Drosophila melanogaster: one gene and its partner. The protein of the gene in region 2 interacts with the protein of the main gene of each other region in a pairwise test. Each region holds a gene or a part of one and is shown on either strand. Other genes may lie near its edges.

Evidence for each region. Proteins that work in one complex are often made in the same cells at the same time.
Region 1: the proteins of RnpS1 (region 2) and Pnn interact in a two-hybrid assay, tested with the Drosophila melanogaster proteins (one large-scale study listed by BioGRID).

Annotation. Positions count from the first base shown.
Region 1 is NT_033777.3:9,738,902-9,743,657, reverse strand, and holds Pnn (pinin), read right to left. Parts: upstream 2,760-4,756; 5' UTR 2,650-2,759; coding exon 2,516-2,649; intron 2,460-2,515; coding exon 1,690-2,459; coding exon of another isoform or gene 1,682-1,689; exon of another isoform or gene 1,502-1,681; intron 1,459-1,501; coding exon 1,439-1,458; 3' UTR 814-1,438; downstream 1-813. Other genes in the region: CG34409 (uncharacterized protein), read left to right, coding at 1-98, 229-605; side-VII (sidestep VII), read left to right, coding at 4,338-4,404, 4,708-4,756.
Region 2 is NT_033777.3:9,549,726-9,554,271, reverse strand, and holds RnpS1 (RNA-binding protein S1), read right to left. Parts: upstream 2,239-4,546; 5' UTR 2,090-2,238; coding exon 2,088-2,089; intron 2,012-2,087; coding exon 1,850-2,011; intron 1,582-1,849; coding exon 621-1,581; 3' UTR 525-620; downstream 1-524. Other genes in the region: CG9386 (uncharacterized protein), read left to right, coding at 1-509.

The DNA.
Region 1 (4,756 bases), 190 kb from region 2:
ACCCATATGCTTACCCTTCAACGGGCCAATCACACTGGGAAACAGGCTGATAGGACAAATTGGAGTGGCTGCTGGTTGGAGTATTGGGAGTACTGAAAGTTAGTCTCGAAACAACTTTATATCTGATCTGTTACATTTTTTAACTTACTATCAATGCGATCGAAATATAATTCAGTGCATATTAGGTTTTAAATGTATATAACATTCTCTACTACAAATTTTATCCAGATAATAGTTCGATGGACCCCTCAAACTCCACCGCTGGGGTGCGCTTCATCCGTTTGCCCATCGTGAACACCACCAGTTGCGCCATCGCCTATGCCAGTCTCAGTGAGAACTTCCAGCAGCCTATTGTGATTACTCCCAACCACCTGTGCGCCCAGGGAATGCCCATGAATGACGTGTGCCGAGGCGATAGTGGCGGCCCCTTTATGGACGACGGTACCTCCGGCGTCTTTGGAACAAGTGGACGTTATACGATCATCGGCATCGTGGCCTTTGGACCGACGCTGTGCGGCGTGACCACCATTCCGGGGGTCTACACCCTGGTGAGTAGCTTCTCCGATTGGATACTGCGAAGCATCGCCGAAGGATCTGACCAGTGAGCGGTCGTGTTGGGAACCCATCCCTAGCAAATTACATCCAAAGCTTCCAATGCCAAAGTCTTCAGAATACATCGACGTAAAGAACAATGATTCATACATTCTACGGATAAATACAAAAATTCGGTTCCACTTCAAATCACCTAAATTTCAATAAAATGTACGTGTATAACAATCGTATTCATCAAATTTGTATTTTTCTACTGTATATGGCGGATGTCAATGCTCTCATTTTATTTTCAGAAAAACAATGTTCTTTTTTTACACGAATACAGTACAAGAATCAGAGGTTAACATATTATTTTTTCATTAATTGCTTCTGACTACTGGTCTTAATTAATAATGTTAATAGACGGCGAAGAAGGTATAATTATCTTATAAGAGTTCTTAACTTATCGCTTAAAGAATTATAATTGTTTTAACGCCTCATTTTAAATTAGTTACTTCCTCAAACAATTTGGAAGCGAGAATAAAATATGTGATTTAGCTTCAGGATGATTATATCTATAAATACATAATTAGGTATTTAATGTTCCTATTTCGCGATCCAATATCTTGCGTGTAAAATATTTTTTAGTTTTATTTACAATTTTACAAATTCTTTTGAAAGATACAAATATAGCTTGCTTGCAGTAAACAATTTTTTTTTTCCAAGTTTTATTTCTAGTAGGACATAAATAATGGCAATAAAGAATAACTGGTTTTGTCCACAAATTGATGTTCTTAAACACCCCTTCATTCGGTGAAGTAAAACAATTGCTTTTGCAAATAATTTGTTAAATTGCATTAGTTGTAATCCTTTATTCCTAGAATAGCATCATTTACTTTTGGGTACTTTACTTAACGTATAATAAAGCTGCAATAAAAACAGGAAGTAGAACATTGAAACAAAGGTATTTGAGTTGATAAATACGATATAACTTTTAAATGTAATCACCGCATTGTAATTTATTTGCTTAAGATCTGGTTTTTGTATTATAAATTAAAGTTTCATAAATAAGTTTTATAAATTGAAACCCAATTGCCCTACACAGCGATATCCGCACGATCATATTTCAAGCCCTAGTGCAAACTGAAGTTTACTTACACTTATCCAACTGCTCTTCGTCGTCAGGCTCTTCATAGAAACTTTCGTCTATTGCAGTATCGTCTTCCATCTTCCCAAAGTTCATGTTCTCCAAGTTTTTAAGCTCAACTTCCAATTCTTCGCGCCGGAATTCTATAAACACATCAGCTTCACTTTTGCTTTTGCTCAACAATTTTTCCGTTCTAGGCGAATGCACTTTTGGCCTAAAGAACAGATGTGGTTTCGTTTTTGTTCGGATGTTATTTTTCGCATTCAACATAGTTGCTTCCCAGACCTTGAAGTCCTTCATTCTGGCCATTTTGTACTCTAATCTACGGATCTCGAATTGCTTTTTTTTCCTATCTAAGAATAGTGTTTCACGCTGTTTCCTCAGCATCGCTCTTTCCTGCAGTTCCTGCTTTTCCACCTTCCTATCGATCTCAGCCTTTTTATCCTCCTTGCTCTTCAGTCGCGATTCCTCCTGACAGAACTTCTGTAGGGTTCCCAACAGCGATCCGAACATCCTGCGATTCCTGGCCCTCGACTCAGAGTCTGTGCCCTGTGCCTCGACAATCTCCTTTTTAGTTGGCATCTCCCGGATGACCCGCGAGTTAATCCGTGGCGGACGACCCTCGTTTTCTTCGATTGGGAAACGGGAAATTGGATTCTTGCTTTCGTACATTCGCCGCTTGTCTTTGAAGACCCCACCGGGTGTTGCATTTCGGGGGAACGGTCGGTCCCCATTGTGCTCGTTCTTCTTGCCATCTTGGGTGTATTTGAATTTTTCCGATCTGAAATGCAGCGGCATTAAGTAATTAATTAAATTAAGCACAACTTGGATTCATACCTCTGCAGGGATTCCTTGGGGACGCGACCAGCAATGCGGCGAATGTTTTCATTTAGGATCACCAGCGACTGCTTGGCCGAATTCAGTTTTTGCTCCAAGTCGTCCACTGTCGATAGACCAGAGTCATTCACCATTGTTCCCACGTTTCAGTTAGGTTTTGTTTAATTAATTATTTTACTTAAGTCGGTACAATTAGATGCTCATAAAAGTAAAAAAACAATACTTAGGGATGAGAGGTTACTAGTGCTGGCGGAAAACAGCGATGGTCCTGGTACTATCGATTCGTCGTGACGGGACATCGATAGTTTTTACTTTTATATATATATATTTGTTATATACTTTTAAACGATCTCCTTATCTTTTCAAAATCCGAAATAATCTCCAACTACTATCTATGGGGAAAAAATTACAAATGCTTGTTCGGGAATCCCCTATAAAAAAAATATAACTACATTTCTTGTATTCTCAATTTAACTTTATAAGGCATTTGTATTTAAAAACAATGACATGATAATAGTTTTTGTTTATACCAATTTATTTATGATTAAGTAATCATATCAGCAATCAGTAAGTGACTGTCCTAAGTCTCATTTCTAGTCTCATGCACCTTGACGTAACCCCACTTGAACCTCTCGTCCGCCTGAAAGTATCTGTACTCGCAGATGAAATGAAACTAGATACCATGGGCGGACTGCGTAGGTTTCAGTTTCTTTGTCCGGCAAAAAGGATAAGACGGTCATCAGAGCGAGAGAAGTCGAGAGAACCATTGCAGCTGTCCGTCCGGAGAGCTTTCACAGTATATGTACTTTCGCGTACATTAAAAGGTCGGACCTGCACGCCTCCGTGACTTTTCAGCTTGTTTTTAAAATAGATTACAATGGACAGCGTGAAATTAGTGATGTCGATGTGGACACGCAAGCCTATGGACAAGGACATCTAAAATAGGGGTTAATATCGAAATGAGTGCAGTATGAAGTCAAAGTTTCGATGCCGACCAATTACACATCATATTCAGAGAAAAGAAGGACGATTATATTGAGCGAGACAAGCGGATGCACGTACATTCACATGTACAAAGGTCATAGTTGCAATGTTTACATCAAAAGCTTCCTGCGAAGCGCCTGCGCCCGCCGGAGGAGCTTTTTAGCCCAGGTTTGCAGGTGTAGTGCGATGGAATTTCGACGTGTTAGTTTCGCATCGCGGCTAGAAAAGTAATATAACTTTCTGCCAGTGCTCGTTATTTTCCACCTTGGTTTTTATTAAAAAAAAAAAAACAGTAGTTCAAGCATGGCTTAATACATTTATTTCGAGTGAAACCGCACTCAATATCCTGTGAATGTGCGCATACAAGAATAAGATATAGTAAAGTGTATCCTGGAATTTTGTCAAACATATACCAGTTCATACGAAAAGACATACACGCATACATACATACTTGTTCGTTGAATAAAATCAAAACCGTGACCATTTAAGTAATCTTCAAAACATTATTAACCAGTTTTCAGTGCTAAATGAAATACGAGACTATCAAATATCCTCGAAAATATCCTTTAACTTAGATATACCGTGTACGCAACTACTGGCAAAATATATAAACCTATGTGTTATACATACAATGTTATATCCCGTGTAGATGTGTAATTGAGTGCTCATGCACAAGTGTTGGTGTGCTCATCTTCCGTGAAAATTCAGATGATAAAATGTAACTTCTAACCAATTAAACGTACCAATCTGCAATAGTGGCCAATAGCGTACTAGATATGAAAGTCATTAAGTCGATGTAATCAACAACTAACCAGTGCTATTCCAATAAATATACAACATGGAGTTACTGCTGCTGTTTATGCTAGCACTTCAACTTATAGAATCCAGCATCGGAAGTAAAGATGGTAAGTCAAAACTTGTATCTTCAATGTTCAGAATGCTTAAAAAATAGTATCCAAAAATGAGCATGATTAAATTATTAATGAATGTAACTGTAAAACTTTTTTTGATTTCTTTAGCAAAAATTTTTGATTGCGGTTTGGTTGATTTAACATATCTTTTTTAGCTAACCGGCTAAGGCCATGTGATATATACATATATAAATATATATATATGTACCTACATATTTTCTCTTAGTATATTATTAGCTTTCCAAATCTTAAATGGTTAGCTTAAAATAAAAACAAATTATAACTTAATTTTTCCAGTACCAATTCACCAAATTGAATCTATAGTTGGTGAAAATATTTATCTTCC
Region 2 (4,546 bases):
GCACCAAGCGATTGGCTCTGCTGGGAATTAAGAGAAAAGCCTCAAAGGCTATTGAAGATCTGGAGTACTTTGTCCAAGAAGAGCTAAGAAAGTATAAGACCGGAGATGCCAAAATTAAGCTGCGCGAGAAGGAGGAGAGCGTTCGAAATTGCACGCAGGTGGATAAGACCATAATTGATGGTCTAGTGTTTAAGATCTTCAAACTGATTCTGGACTCTAACGAAGATAAATGGTCTGGTCGTCTGCCCATGAGAGAGATTGCCCAGGCTCTCACCAAGGAGGAGCTGAGTGGCATTAAATCCGAGTGCGGCGGCATCAAAACATTGCTGCGCAATAAACACGAAGTTTTCGAATTCTGCGGTGGTGATCTCATAGGAATAAGAACCCCTAAACCAACGGCTACTCTCCCCAAATCCCATTTGACCATCAAGAAACGTAGCTGCTTTTTCAAGCTTCATCATCCGCTGGGATGTCCTCTCGATGATGCTGAGTGCTCGTTTATACACTAAGCTAACTCTCTATGTGTGTGGTATTTGCTCACCTTTATTATTTGGATTATAATATAAAGAAAAGTGCAATAATCGTGTCAATTGTAGAAACTAGGAGTCGATCAGTGTCCTCTAACGAGAGCTGTCACTGCTATTGCTGCGGCGTCGACGACGAATGGGGGAGCGGGAGCGACGCCGTGGTGAACGCCGGTTCCTCATGGGTGACTGACGACGTCCGCCGCCGCCGCCACCACCTCCTCCACGATTGTTGAACCTATTGAACTGGGGTGGGGATCGCCAGCGGTTGTTTTGCGGACGGCGCATCGGTGGCGAAGGACGACGCATGGGCGGCCTCTGTTTTACTAAGACAACCGGGGATACCGTAATCTCCTGGCCATCTATCTGCCCGCCATCCATATGCTTCATGGCCGACTCACAATCCTCGGGTGTGGCATATTCCACAAACGCCACGCCGCGTCCGAAGTTAGGATGAAAACGATCTACGGGAAACTCCACATTCTTCACATCCCCAAAGCTGCTAAATATCTCGAACACATGGTCCTTGGTAACGTTGCGGGTAAGCCGACCGACATGAATGCGCACCTGTTTGGGCGAAGGCGAGCGAGTCCGCGAACGGGAGCGCTCCCTTCGCTTCGGTGGCGGCGTCCTCTCAACGGAGCCGCGACCACGACGGCGTGGCGATCGTGAACGACTGGCTGAGCGAGAACGCTCCCGCTTAACATTATTGCTATCGGCGGCTGCCCTATCGTTGGATCCAGCACGGCGGGCACGATCCCTCGACCGACTACGACGATCGCGATCTCGCTCCGGCTCTTTTCGCGCCTTGCTGCCCGGTCTTGGAGATTTGGAGACACGCCTGGGGGAACGGGTGCGAGAGCGGGAACGTGATCGGGCGCTGGGCTTATCCTTGTCTTTGTCTTTGCCAGCAGCGCCGCCGCCACGTCTTCGGTTCTTCTCGCTGCGATCCGAATCGCTGGACGACGATGATGAGGAGCTCGAGGAGTCGCTGGAGCTGCTTGAGCTGGAACGCGATGACCCGGAACTGCTCCGCGAAGAGCTGCTGTCCGATGTGCTGGAAAAAGTGAAGTGTTTTATTTACTTCTCGTAACCAAGAAAACGGCAATGAAGCTGGTACAAAGTAAAACACTTCCTAACTGTGATGAAATTTTACCATATATGGTATGTGAATTTTTACAAAATCTTTTCGCTCGAAGGCTATTTTCTTCCCGTACTATCTGCTACGTTTTACAGAAGAAGAAGGACTTCCTTTTAAAAGTAACCCTTATTCCGGTTGGCAGATGGCAGCCATTTGTGGGAAAGACCTTTGCCGGCTGATTTACCTGCTTCTGGAGTCGCTGCTGGAGGACGCCGATCCGCGGCGTTTGCGTTCGCGGTCCCTGCGCGAGGAGCCGCTGGTCGCCTTGCCGTCCTTCTCTTTGGCGACCTTCTCCTTGTTGTCCTTTTCCTTCTCACCCTCGCCGGCGAGACTCTGGGCACGCGCCCTGTTTTTTTTTATTTGTCGAGAAAAGCGAGCTGTTTTAGACCATTTAGGGAGCAAAATGTGGTGCAGATACTTACATTTTCGTATTGCCGATTTGTTAAACGATTAGTTTTATAGTACCGCACACTCTTTTAGGTGCAAGCTAAAATGTTTTTATTAATAAATCTTGTTTTTCTCAACTAGAGTTAAATGCGAGTAGCGTTTTCAGTGGAGATTAGTGTGGCCGTGTTTGTGAACGTGTAAATATGACAAAAAAATAGAATACACACTTATTAAAATAAAATCCAGTTCCTTTACTTTGCTATTAAAAAACTGTTTTGCGAATATTAAGAAGCATTTTTAGTTAAATATAAATAAATTTCTTTTATAATATGCTTAAATCTCAAATTCTAGTATACAAATGTTTCTAGAGTATTTGGGATTAAGATAACAGACACCACTTGGTAATTTCTCACAGTCTCGCCGCGGCCACACTCTTTGTCAGGTCGAACCCAAGGTAAACTCCCATAAAGCGTAAAAATTTAAGACCTTTCCTGCCTAGCAATTTGGACTCGATAGGAAGTAATAATGTATACCGTGTAATATGAATAGTGCTTGTTTTCGTAACGTACGAATGTAGTGGAATTACATAAAACGCAATTGATTTAAGGCCAGCACTTTTTTATCTGCTGGTGACGAAGTGGTTGTCATTGTGAGTTCACATCCGTGTGCCTGTATGTGTGTGAACTTGTGTTGATTTTGTCCATGCGAGCAAGCGAGATAGCAAAAGGGGGCCGCGGGGGCTGGCCACAGCCACAGAGTTTCGATTTTCCATCCATATATCTACACTCGCAGCGGAAACGAGAGAGAGAAAGAGAGTGTGAGAGAGAGGAGCGCCCCGTCTGGTCTGGGCACATTTTACCACACTGCGTCTTTGTCTGCCGTCGAGTCGGGAGCTCCGCGTCTGGTGTGTAGTATTATTATTCTTAATATTTCGGATTACTCTGCCTGTAGCTCAATAGCAATATTAAAACCCCGCCCCGAATGCTTTGCGTTGAAAAACATATCTTAGTGTGTGTGTGAGTGCAAAGTGCAGTTATGTTGTGGCAGCAGTCAATGCAAATTAACCAGTGTCTATACCTCAAAGGCACATTTTTTTAGCCCCATCATCGTGTTTTGAAACGCCACAGCGCAGCGTAATTGCCAAAAACCAGCTAGCCAACAAGAGTTTCGTTGGTATACATATCCATATATTCATATAATCAATGTGTGTAAAGAAAACGAAACTAAGAAAAGCGAAAAAGAGCATTCGATGAAGTTGACTGTCATGACTACGCAATAGCAACAACAATAGGAGCTGCCAACAGACACATGTATGCACAGTAGGTGGGTCCTCTCACGTGCTCTCAGTGCCGCTCTCTGCTCTCCCTCTCTCGGTTTCTTTGTGCATCGGTGTGAGTGTGTATGTGTGTTGGGGTCCGGACTCCATGGAAAAAGCGAATATTTTGATGCCTGCTTCCTTGTGTGTATATGCGTATATTTTTTATAATTTATTGTTTTAATTTTGAGAGGGCGTAGTGTGACCCCAACTCGAACACCGACCCTGCCCAAGTATGCATAGAAGAACGCGCACACACATTTGTGGTCAAAATAATAGTTAAATTACGGAAATGTAGTCTATTTACAATGTTGAAGGAGAGCACCGAAGAGGTCGCTCTTTATATACATACATACATACATAAGTATATGTTATCGCTGCATTAAGTCTTATAATCTATGTTTAGAAATGCACTTATCTTATCTTTATAATAATATTTACCACAAATACCCTGATCAAAGAGGGGTTTTATGCCGTGACACAGTCGTTATACGAAGAGGGTGCTTCCAAAATCTTAGTGCTTCCATTTTAAAAGCATCGAAATTTATGTTATGAAAAGAAAAAGAACTTCTTATGCTAAGAATATATCACTATATAATTGCGGAGAATATCTTTGGGGTACAAATTATAGAATTCCATTATATAATATATATAATATTATATAATATATATAATATTTCTACTTAAATGTCTGTTTTAAGCAACACTAACCTTCTTCTTAGAAGAAACTTTACTCCACTTCAACATATTCAAGTAACCATTTCTCAGAGACTACAAACCAAAAATAGTTTACAGCACTATTAGTTTAACTGCAACTGTATATTGAACCACAATTACAACCATTATCGTTATGATAAACAAGCATTTGTATATTGTACTGCCTGCCTATATTTTACGTCTAATTTGCATTACATTGGCATTAATACTCATTGGCCGCAATTAAAACCAGGCTTTATATATATAGATCTATATTTTAATATTATTCCACATATACATACATTTATTGCTAACCAAACTAAACCAACCCAAGTAATTAGTTTCTCAACTGAATGTAATAGCAATGTTTTCTTTTACTTTTATTTTCTTTGTTTTAGCATACATACAATATTTTATTGCTGGTTTTGGTGGTAAATTTGCATTGTTAACGGCCGCGGCCAGACGTGCCCCGCTTCTTTAACA